Linked DNA regions of Rattus norvegicus. The protein of the gene in region 1 interacts with the protein of each later gene in a pairwise test. Links are inferred from orthologs where the notes say so. Each region holds a gene or a part of one and is shown on either strand. Other genes may lie near its edges.

Region 1 (3,424 bases):
ATGGTTTTTGTTTGCATGGCCACTGGGGCCTAAAAGTGGAGGCCTGTGTATGCTGGGCTCCTGACCTGGCCCAGAGCTGTAGTGCTAGCTCCACCAAGCCATCTCTGCTGATAGTTTCCCTACTTTATTTTTTTAGTTTTTGTTTTGTTTTGTTTTTGTTGTTTTTGTTTTTGTTTTTGTTTTTCGGAGATGGGGACTGAACCCAGGGCCTTGCGCTTGCTAGGCAAGCGCTCTACCACTGAGCTAAATCCCCAACCCCACCCTACTTTATTTTTTAACTATGTAACTTTGTGTGTTTTTTAACTTTGTGTGTCTGTATGTACGTGACATGAGTACAGGACCCCTGGAGGCCAAAGGCATTAGATCCCCTAGAAATGGACTTAACAGTGGTTAGAGGCCAACATGTAGATGCTGGGAATGAAACCCGGGACCTTTGCAAGAACAAAGCCATTCATTGGTCCAGCAATGAGTTTTTGGGATTTTGTTGAGGCAAGGTCTTCCCTTCTCCCCCCACCCCCACCCCCCCCCCAGAGCTGAGGACCAAACCCAGGGCCTTGCAGTTGCTAGGCAAGCACTCTACCACTGAGCTAAATCCCCAACCCGAGGCAAGGTTTTATTATGTACTCTTGGCTGATCTTGCCATACAGACCAAGCTGGCCTTGAACTCACATCACAGAGATCCACCTGCCCTTGCCTGAATGTTAGGATCATCAGTGAAGGCTAGCACGCTCCAACAAGCCATCTTTTTGTTGGTTTTTGAGTGGTTTTGTTGTTTGTTTTGTCAACCCCCCCCCCCCCAAGCCGGTTTGTTTGTGTAGCCCTGACTGTCCTAGAACTCCCTCTGTAAACCAGACTGGCTTCAAAGGCACAGAGATCCACCTGCCTGGGCCTCCTGAGTGCTGGGATTAAAGGCATGGGCCACTACTTCCCTGCCCTGCCCTGCCCAGCCCTGCCCACAAGCCATCTTAACAGATTCTCCCTGTAGGACTATTGGATAGAACAGGTACCAGTCAGCCAGAGCGCTGTGGTACATACCTATAGCTCTAGTACTCAGGCTAGGACACAGGATCATGGGTTCAAGGTCAGTTTGAGCTACACATTTAATCCCAGAACTTGGTTTGAAGACAGCCTGGTCTACAGAGTTTCAGGACAGCCAGGGCTGCACAGAGGTGTATATCTGGGGTATGTCAGGAGGGAGTGGGAATTGTGTCAGAAATGGAAAAGGCAGCATTCTGGACCCCCAAAGTGCATGAACAGCACCCCACTCGTATCTACACCCCTTCCAGGTGCGGTTCCCATCCCACTTCAGCTCTGACTTGAAGGACCTGCTTCGGAACCTTCTGCAGGTGGATCTCACCAAGCGCTTTGGGAATCTCAAGAACGGGGTCAATGACATCAAGAACCACAAGTGGTTTGCCACAACTGACTGGATCGCCATCTATCAGAGAAAGGTGGGCTTCTCTTCCCCATGCCCCAAGTTGGAAAGGCAAGGAATTATGGATAGGATAATACAAACAGCCCAGCAAGTTCAGGACTATATGGGGGATGCTGGGCTCTTCTGGCCACTTTGTGGCCGTAAGCAGGAAATATCCTCTGGGAAGTGACTTCGTTTGGTGAGTTGGGTTGCAGAGAAGACACTCCACCTGAATGGTGAGCTCAGGCCTGGGTCCCAGCAGTGTCTTCTGAGTATTAAGCCATTCATTTTTATTGTAATGGTAAGGTCAGCTAACGCACTCTGGCTGCTTCTTAATCCCTATCCAGGTGGAAGCTCCCTTCATACCAAAGTTTAAAGGCCCTGGGGACACGAGTAACTTTGACGACTATGAGGAGGAAGAGATCCGGGTCTCCATCAATGAGAAATGTGGCAAGGAGTTTACTGAGTTTTAGGGGTGTGCTTGTGCCCCATGGGTTTTCTTTTCTTTTTTTTTTTTTTTTCTTTTTCTTTCTATTTTTTTTTCTGGTTGGGGGTGGGGGGGTTGGATCGAACAGCCAGAGGGCCCTAGAGTTCCATGCATCTAATTTAACATCCACTCCACACCCCCAGGGTTAAGGAGAGCAGGAAAGTCAGATACTGGGGAAGGGGCAACATCAGCTGCTCCCCCTCTCCCTTCACCTCCACCCTTCCCTGCCTGTTTTCAATGAATTTCTTAGCTCCAGTCATACTCAATCTTGCTGGTGTATCCAGGGGCGAGTAGGGAAAGAGGGGCCCAAATTCAGCCTCCACCCCTACCCCAGCACTGGATACTAAGGATGAACAGTAAAGCCAACCTTCCCTTCCATGCAGCCCTACCTGGAAAGGGAGATTTTATGACCTGTACAGAGGGCTGCTTGCCAGTGGGGTTTTTTTTTTTTTTCCTCATTTAAATTAAGTTCCACCAGTGCCTCCCACCCTCCAAATTGTCCCACCCCTCTCAACCCCACCCCCACTCCCTAAATCCATTCTGATGAGACCCGGGTAGCCAACTGACTCTGTCAAGGAAGGAACTGGGCTTGGAACCTCGCCCTGAGCTGCTAGCCTCCCGGCCCCCCTTTCCAGTGGTCTCATGCCAATTGTTCTGTGCACCAGCCCCCCTAAGAAGCCCCTCCCCATCCTGGGCGCTCACTTCTAGCTTAGCTGTCAGCTGTCCATCACCTCTTGCCGTGTGTCCCCACTCACTGCACCCCCAAAAGCACTCTGATTGTGCTTTTTCTCTCAATAGAAAGGTGGGGAGCTGCTGGGGATATGACCCCGTTTATCCCTGTGTTTATCCCTCTCGTAACTTCTCCCAAAAAGGAGGAGCTCTCAGGCCTGGGTGGGGGCCCCGGGTGGGCGAGAGGGGCCGTTCAACCTGTGTGCTTCGAAGGATGAGACTTCCTCTTGAACAGTGTGCTGTTGTAAACATATTTGAAAACTATTACCAATAAAGTTTTGTTTTAAAATAAAAGTGTCCCTGGTATTCCCGACTTCGATCACACCCTCAGGGTGTTGGAAAGGGAATTTCGGACCTCAGTGTCCATCCTCTGGAGACCCCGGCCTCCGGACCTTGGAGAAACCGGGTTTAGCTGGAATTCCTGTACTTCCTCCGCCACACCAGAAAAAGGAGGGGTGGGGTGGGCAAACTGTCCTTTGACCCTGAGTTCGGGGCCCTCAAATCTGCTCCCACCCCTACTTCAGTCTAGTCCCGGACCGAGAGGGCCGCCGGGACCGGTTCGGCCAAATAGGATTAGCAGAGTCGAAGGAGAAAGGGGAAGCCCCGCGCGACCCCCCGGAGTCCTCGTGTAGGCGAGGCAGGGCCGCTAGTGAGGTCTCCGCGGCTCCCAGGAGCGAGGCGCGTCGGGCCGCGACGCGGCTAGTTCCCGGTAAGTGCGGTCCCGAGAGCGCTGCGCGCGGAGAGGCGTGGAGAGGGGGCTGGGCGCCGAGGACGTCTGGGTCCCGCGCCCAATG
Region 2 (3,500 bases), on another chromosome or scaffold:
AAAATCCTTCTCTACTTTATACTTTGTTCTCTTTTTGTTTCTGTTAGAGATGGTTATTCAGGCAGGCCAAGAATTCTCTTGTAGCCTAGAGCAATCTTGGATGTATGGTTTTCCTGTCTCAGCTACTAAGTGTTGATTAAGGCTATGGGTCCTGTGTATCTTGTGTTGTCTTTTCTTTATAGTCACAGACTCTTGATGGGCATTATTTGCCTTTTCTGGAGGTATCTTTTGGTACTGTCTAATACCTATGAGCACCCGGGTATTTAATGGGAGTTTTGTTTTGTGATCTATTTACGCCCCACGGCGGCACTCATTGAGCACAGCAGCACACTACAGTTTGGAGACTTGTGCCTAGCTCAAGTCTGAGGGGTTTTTCTTCCAGCATCATTAAACCCTGTTGATTAGGGACTTCCAGCTCTCTAGCAGTGGTTCAGCTACTTAAACCATAGATGTTCTCTTCACAGACATATAGTAGACTTGCCCTGTGTTTTCCTGTAGGACCGGGTGACTTTTAGGAGAATCATAGTGAAGAACAATGCAAAGAAGAGGAAGATGTTCGAATCGTTTATTGAGTCTGTACCGCTCTTTAAATCACTAGAGGTAAGGCTTACGAGAGTCTGTGTATGTGGTTCATGAAAAGCTGTTAAAACTGCTCTTAGGTCTTCAAATAATACTGTTCTGATCTAGTTGTAACAGTGACAGTCAATCAAGGTTTTATCCTCATACTGTAACTATATCCGTTACTTAGATGTCAGAACGAATGAAGATTGTGGATGTGATCGGGGAAAAGATCTATAAGGATGGAGAGCGAATAATCACTCAGGTGAGTTGGGGGCTCACACAGCTCCTTTTCTGGAAGTCCCCATCACAATGAACAGTGTGACCTGCTTGCGGACTGAGTATGGTAACGCACATCTGTCATGCCAGCATTTAGGAGAAGTAAGCTGGGTGGTGGTGGCACATGCCATTAACCAAGCACTCAGGAGGCAGAGGCAGGCCAGTCTCTGAGTTTAAGGCCAACCTGGTCTACCCTGTCTTAAAAAATAAAACAGAAAAAAAAAAAAAAAGAATGGGGGTGGGGGTGGGGCTCTGAGTTTGAGGCCATCCTGCTCTACATACCAAGTTCCAGATCACCCAGAGCTGTTTAGAGATCCTGTCTCAAAAAAGGAAAAAAAAGGAAGGAAGGAAAGAAAAAAAGAAGAAAAAAAATCACTGGAAGCTCATGTTGTCCCTTCTATAGAGACCTCTGAATGCTGTTCACTGAGGCCCATCTCCCTGAGACGTTAGTTGAAGTACCAGGGACTGAACTCACATGCTGAGCAAAGGCTTCTGCCACTGAGCTGGGTCCTTGGTCCTTTTTGTTTGTTTCGAGACAGCGTGATCAAGTCGTCCTAAACATGGAAGCCTTCGAAGTCTCTGCGATTGCACCATGTGCTGCTAGGCTCGGACTGCATTCATTTAGGGGTGGGCTTCTGCCGTTTGTTCTAGTGGATCTAATTTTCTTTTGACCCTGAGTAAACTTTATTAGTCTGTACTAGACAGCTGGGGCTTACGCTCCCTTAGCCCTGTGCTGACACGGGAATCCTCAGCATCCAGTGACTCCTTGATATAGAGACCCTTTGTGTCTTTCTCATGTTATTTTTAATAATGTTAGATCCCACACAGTAAACTGGACCATTATACTTAAAGAAGACTGCAAACTGGGCATAGCAGTGTATGCCTAAAATCCCAACACTTAGGTAGAGGCAAGTGGGTCGGGAGTTCAGGACCACTCTCAGCTACATAACAACTTTTGGCTCTCCTGTTCTACATGTAATATCTTTTAGAAATATTTCCTCTGTCTACTGTGTTTGTATTTTAATTACATGTAAGTAGTTTTAGAAACTTTTCCAGATATAAACTTACCTGCCCATGGATCTGACAAGACCACTGGGGAAGGAGTCTGGCTGAGTCCAGGTGGACAGTGTATAGGGCCTTGTTCACCCAGCTGTGGTGAAGAGGATGGTTTCAGGTCAGGGTGGATCCCAGGCCTATGTGCTTGAGTCCCATTCATAGAGCTGGCCCCACCCAAGCCTTGAGAACTAGTCAGACTTACAGTGAAGGGAGAGGAGAGCCCACTACAGCACTGACAGAAGTACCCTGTTCATCCCAGTTCCAGCTCTGAATGGCTCTGCTTGCTAGGTGAAGACTGGGGTAAACAAGACTCAGTAAGGCCCACTGTGATGTGTGATGATGCACATGTGCAAAGTGAGAGTGTAGAATAGAGGTAACTAATCCGTGTTACTCTGGAAAGGAAACTGCAAGTGCTTGTTTTTTACAGGTTTATACAAAACTTAATTTCTTCCTTGAATATGCAGAGTACAAATATGATGAAATGTCCGTGTTTACTTTATGAAGTAAAAAAATCTGCTCACATTTATATTATAAATTTATTAAGGCAATGAACTGTATAGAAAAAGCCCTCATTTGTTCTGCTTAAAGCATTGCATAAGCCATTCTGCACATTAAACATTGCACTCCAGTGCATGACATGCTGTCTGCATAGCATGCTGGCCAGTGAGGCTGCGGGTGTATGCTGGCCATCCCTAGGGGGCTTCTATCTTTCATCTCAAGTTATTCTGCCCACAGTTTCAGGGGATACCAGCTCATCATGGAGGCAGGAACAAGTCAGGCCGTGGTAATCAGAAAGAGAGTGAATGAAAAACAGGGGAATGTCTCTCTTAGTGACAGAGTGAGGCCCCGTGTTCCAAAGGTTCAGTAACTTCCCAGGAAAGTGTCTCCAGATGGGGACAAGAGGTCAAATACATGGACCTTTGGGAGACATTTTGCATTCACACTGTGACACAAAAGTCTTTCGGGTTTTTGACAGGATCTAACTGCATAGCCTAGGCTAGCTTCAGACTCACAGCAGTGTTTCTGCTTTAGCTGGCTGCGTGCTGTGGTTATAGCCATGAGCCGTCATTCCATGCTGGAACTGGTGATTCACTCAAGCGAATCAGCCTCAAATGGTGTCTCTCTGTTTGGGGTTTGAAGTGGTGGGTCAAGCAAAAGACTGACGCTTGGCAGGGCGGACTCTTACTGAAGACAAAGTCCACACCAAGCTGGGCATGTGGGAGTGCACTTGGGAGGCAGAGGAAGGGGTGCTGATGAAAGTGAGGCTAACCTGGAGACAATGCATGCCAGGCCAGCCAGAACCACGTAGGCAGACCTGTCTCAGAACAAAGCACCAACCAGTAGCATGTGACTGCCGTTGTTCTCCGTGGTTTGACCCAGAGCTAACTGTGAGGGTGAGAAAGTGGAACAAGCCGAAAGCTTTGTCTCCTGTCTGCTTGCCTGAGTCTCTCTTCCTTCCAGCTTTTGCTCAGATTTCGCCTTTCCCTAAAGCTGTGTTGTCCACAGTAGCCTGTCCATCTACCGCCAGTTGAGAGCCTGTGGTCCCTGTCCTGTTCTTGTCCTGTAGCACTTGCCACCCTCCCACACAGCTGTATAACTTATTATTA

What was found.
Region 2: the proteins of Prkaca (region 1) and Prkar2a interact in a protein complementation assay, tested with the Homo sapiens proteins (2 studies listed by BioGRID). The link is inferred for Rattus norvegicus from reciprocal best matches to the Homo sapiens genes PRKACA and PRKAR2A.

What each region holds. Positions count from the first base shown.
Region 1 is NC_086037.1:41,059,343-41,062,766, reverse strand, and holds the end of Prkaca (cAMP-dependent protein kinase catalytic subunit alpha), read left to right. Parts: intron 1-1,286; coding exon 1,287-1,451; intron 1,452-1,761; coding exon 1,762-1,887; 3' UTR 1,888-2,924; downstream 2,925-3,424.
Region 2 is NC_086026.1:118,323,608-118,327,107, forward strand, and holds part of Prkar2a (cAMP-dependent protein kinase type II-alpha regulatory subunit), read left to right. Parts: intron 1-498; coding exon 499-600; intron 601-748; coding exon 749-823; intron 824-3,500. UniProt on the Homo sapiens protein: Regulatory subunit of the cAMP-dependent protein kinases involved in cAMP signaling in cells. Type II regulatory chains mediate membrane association by binding to anchoring proteins, including the MAP2 kinase.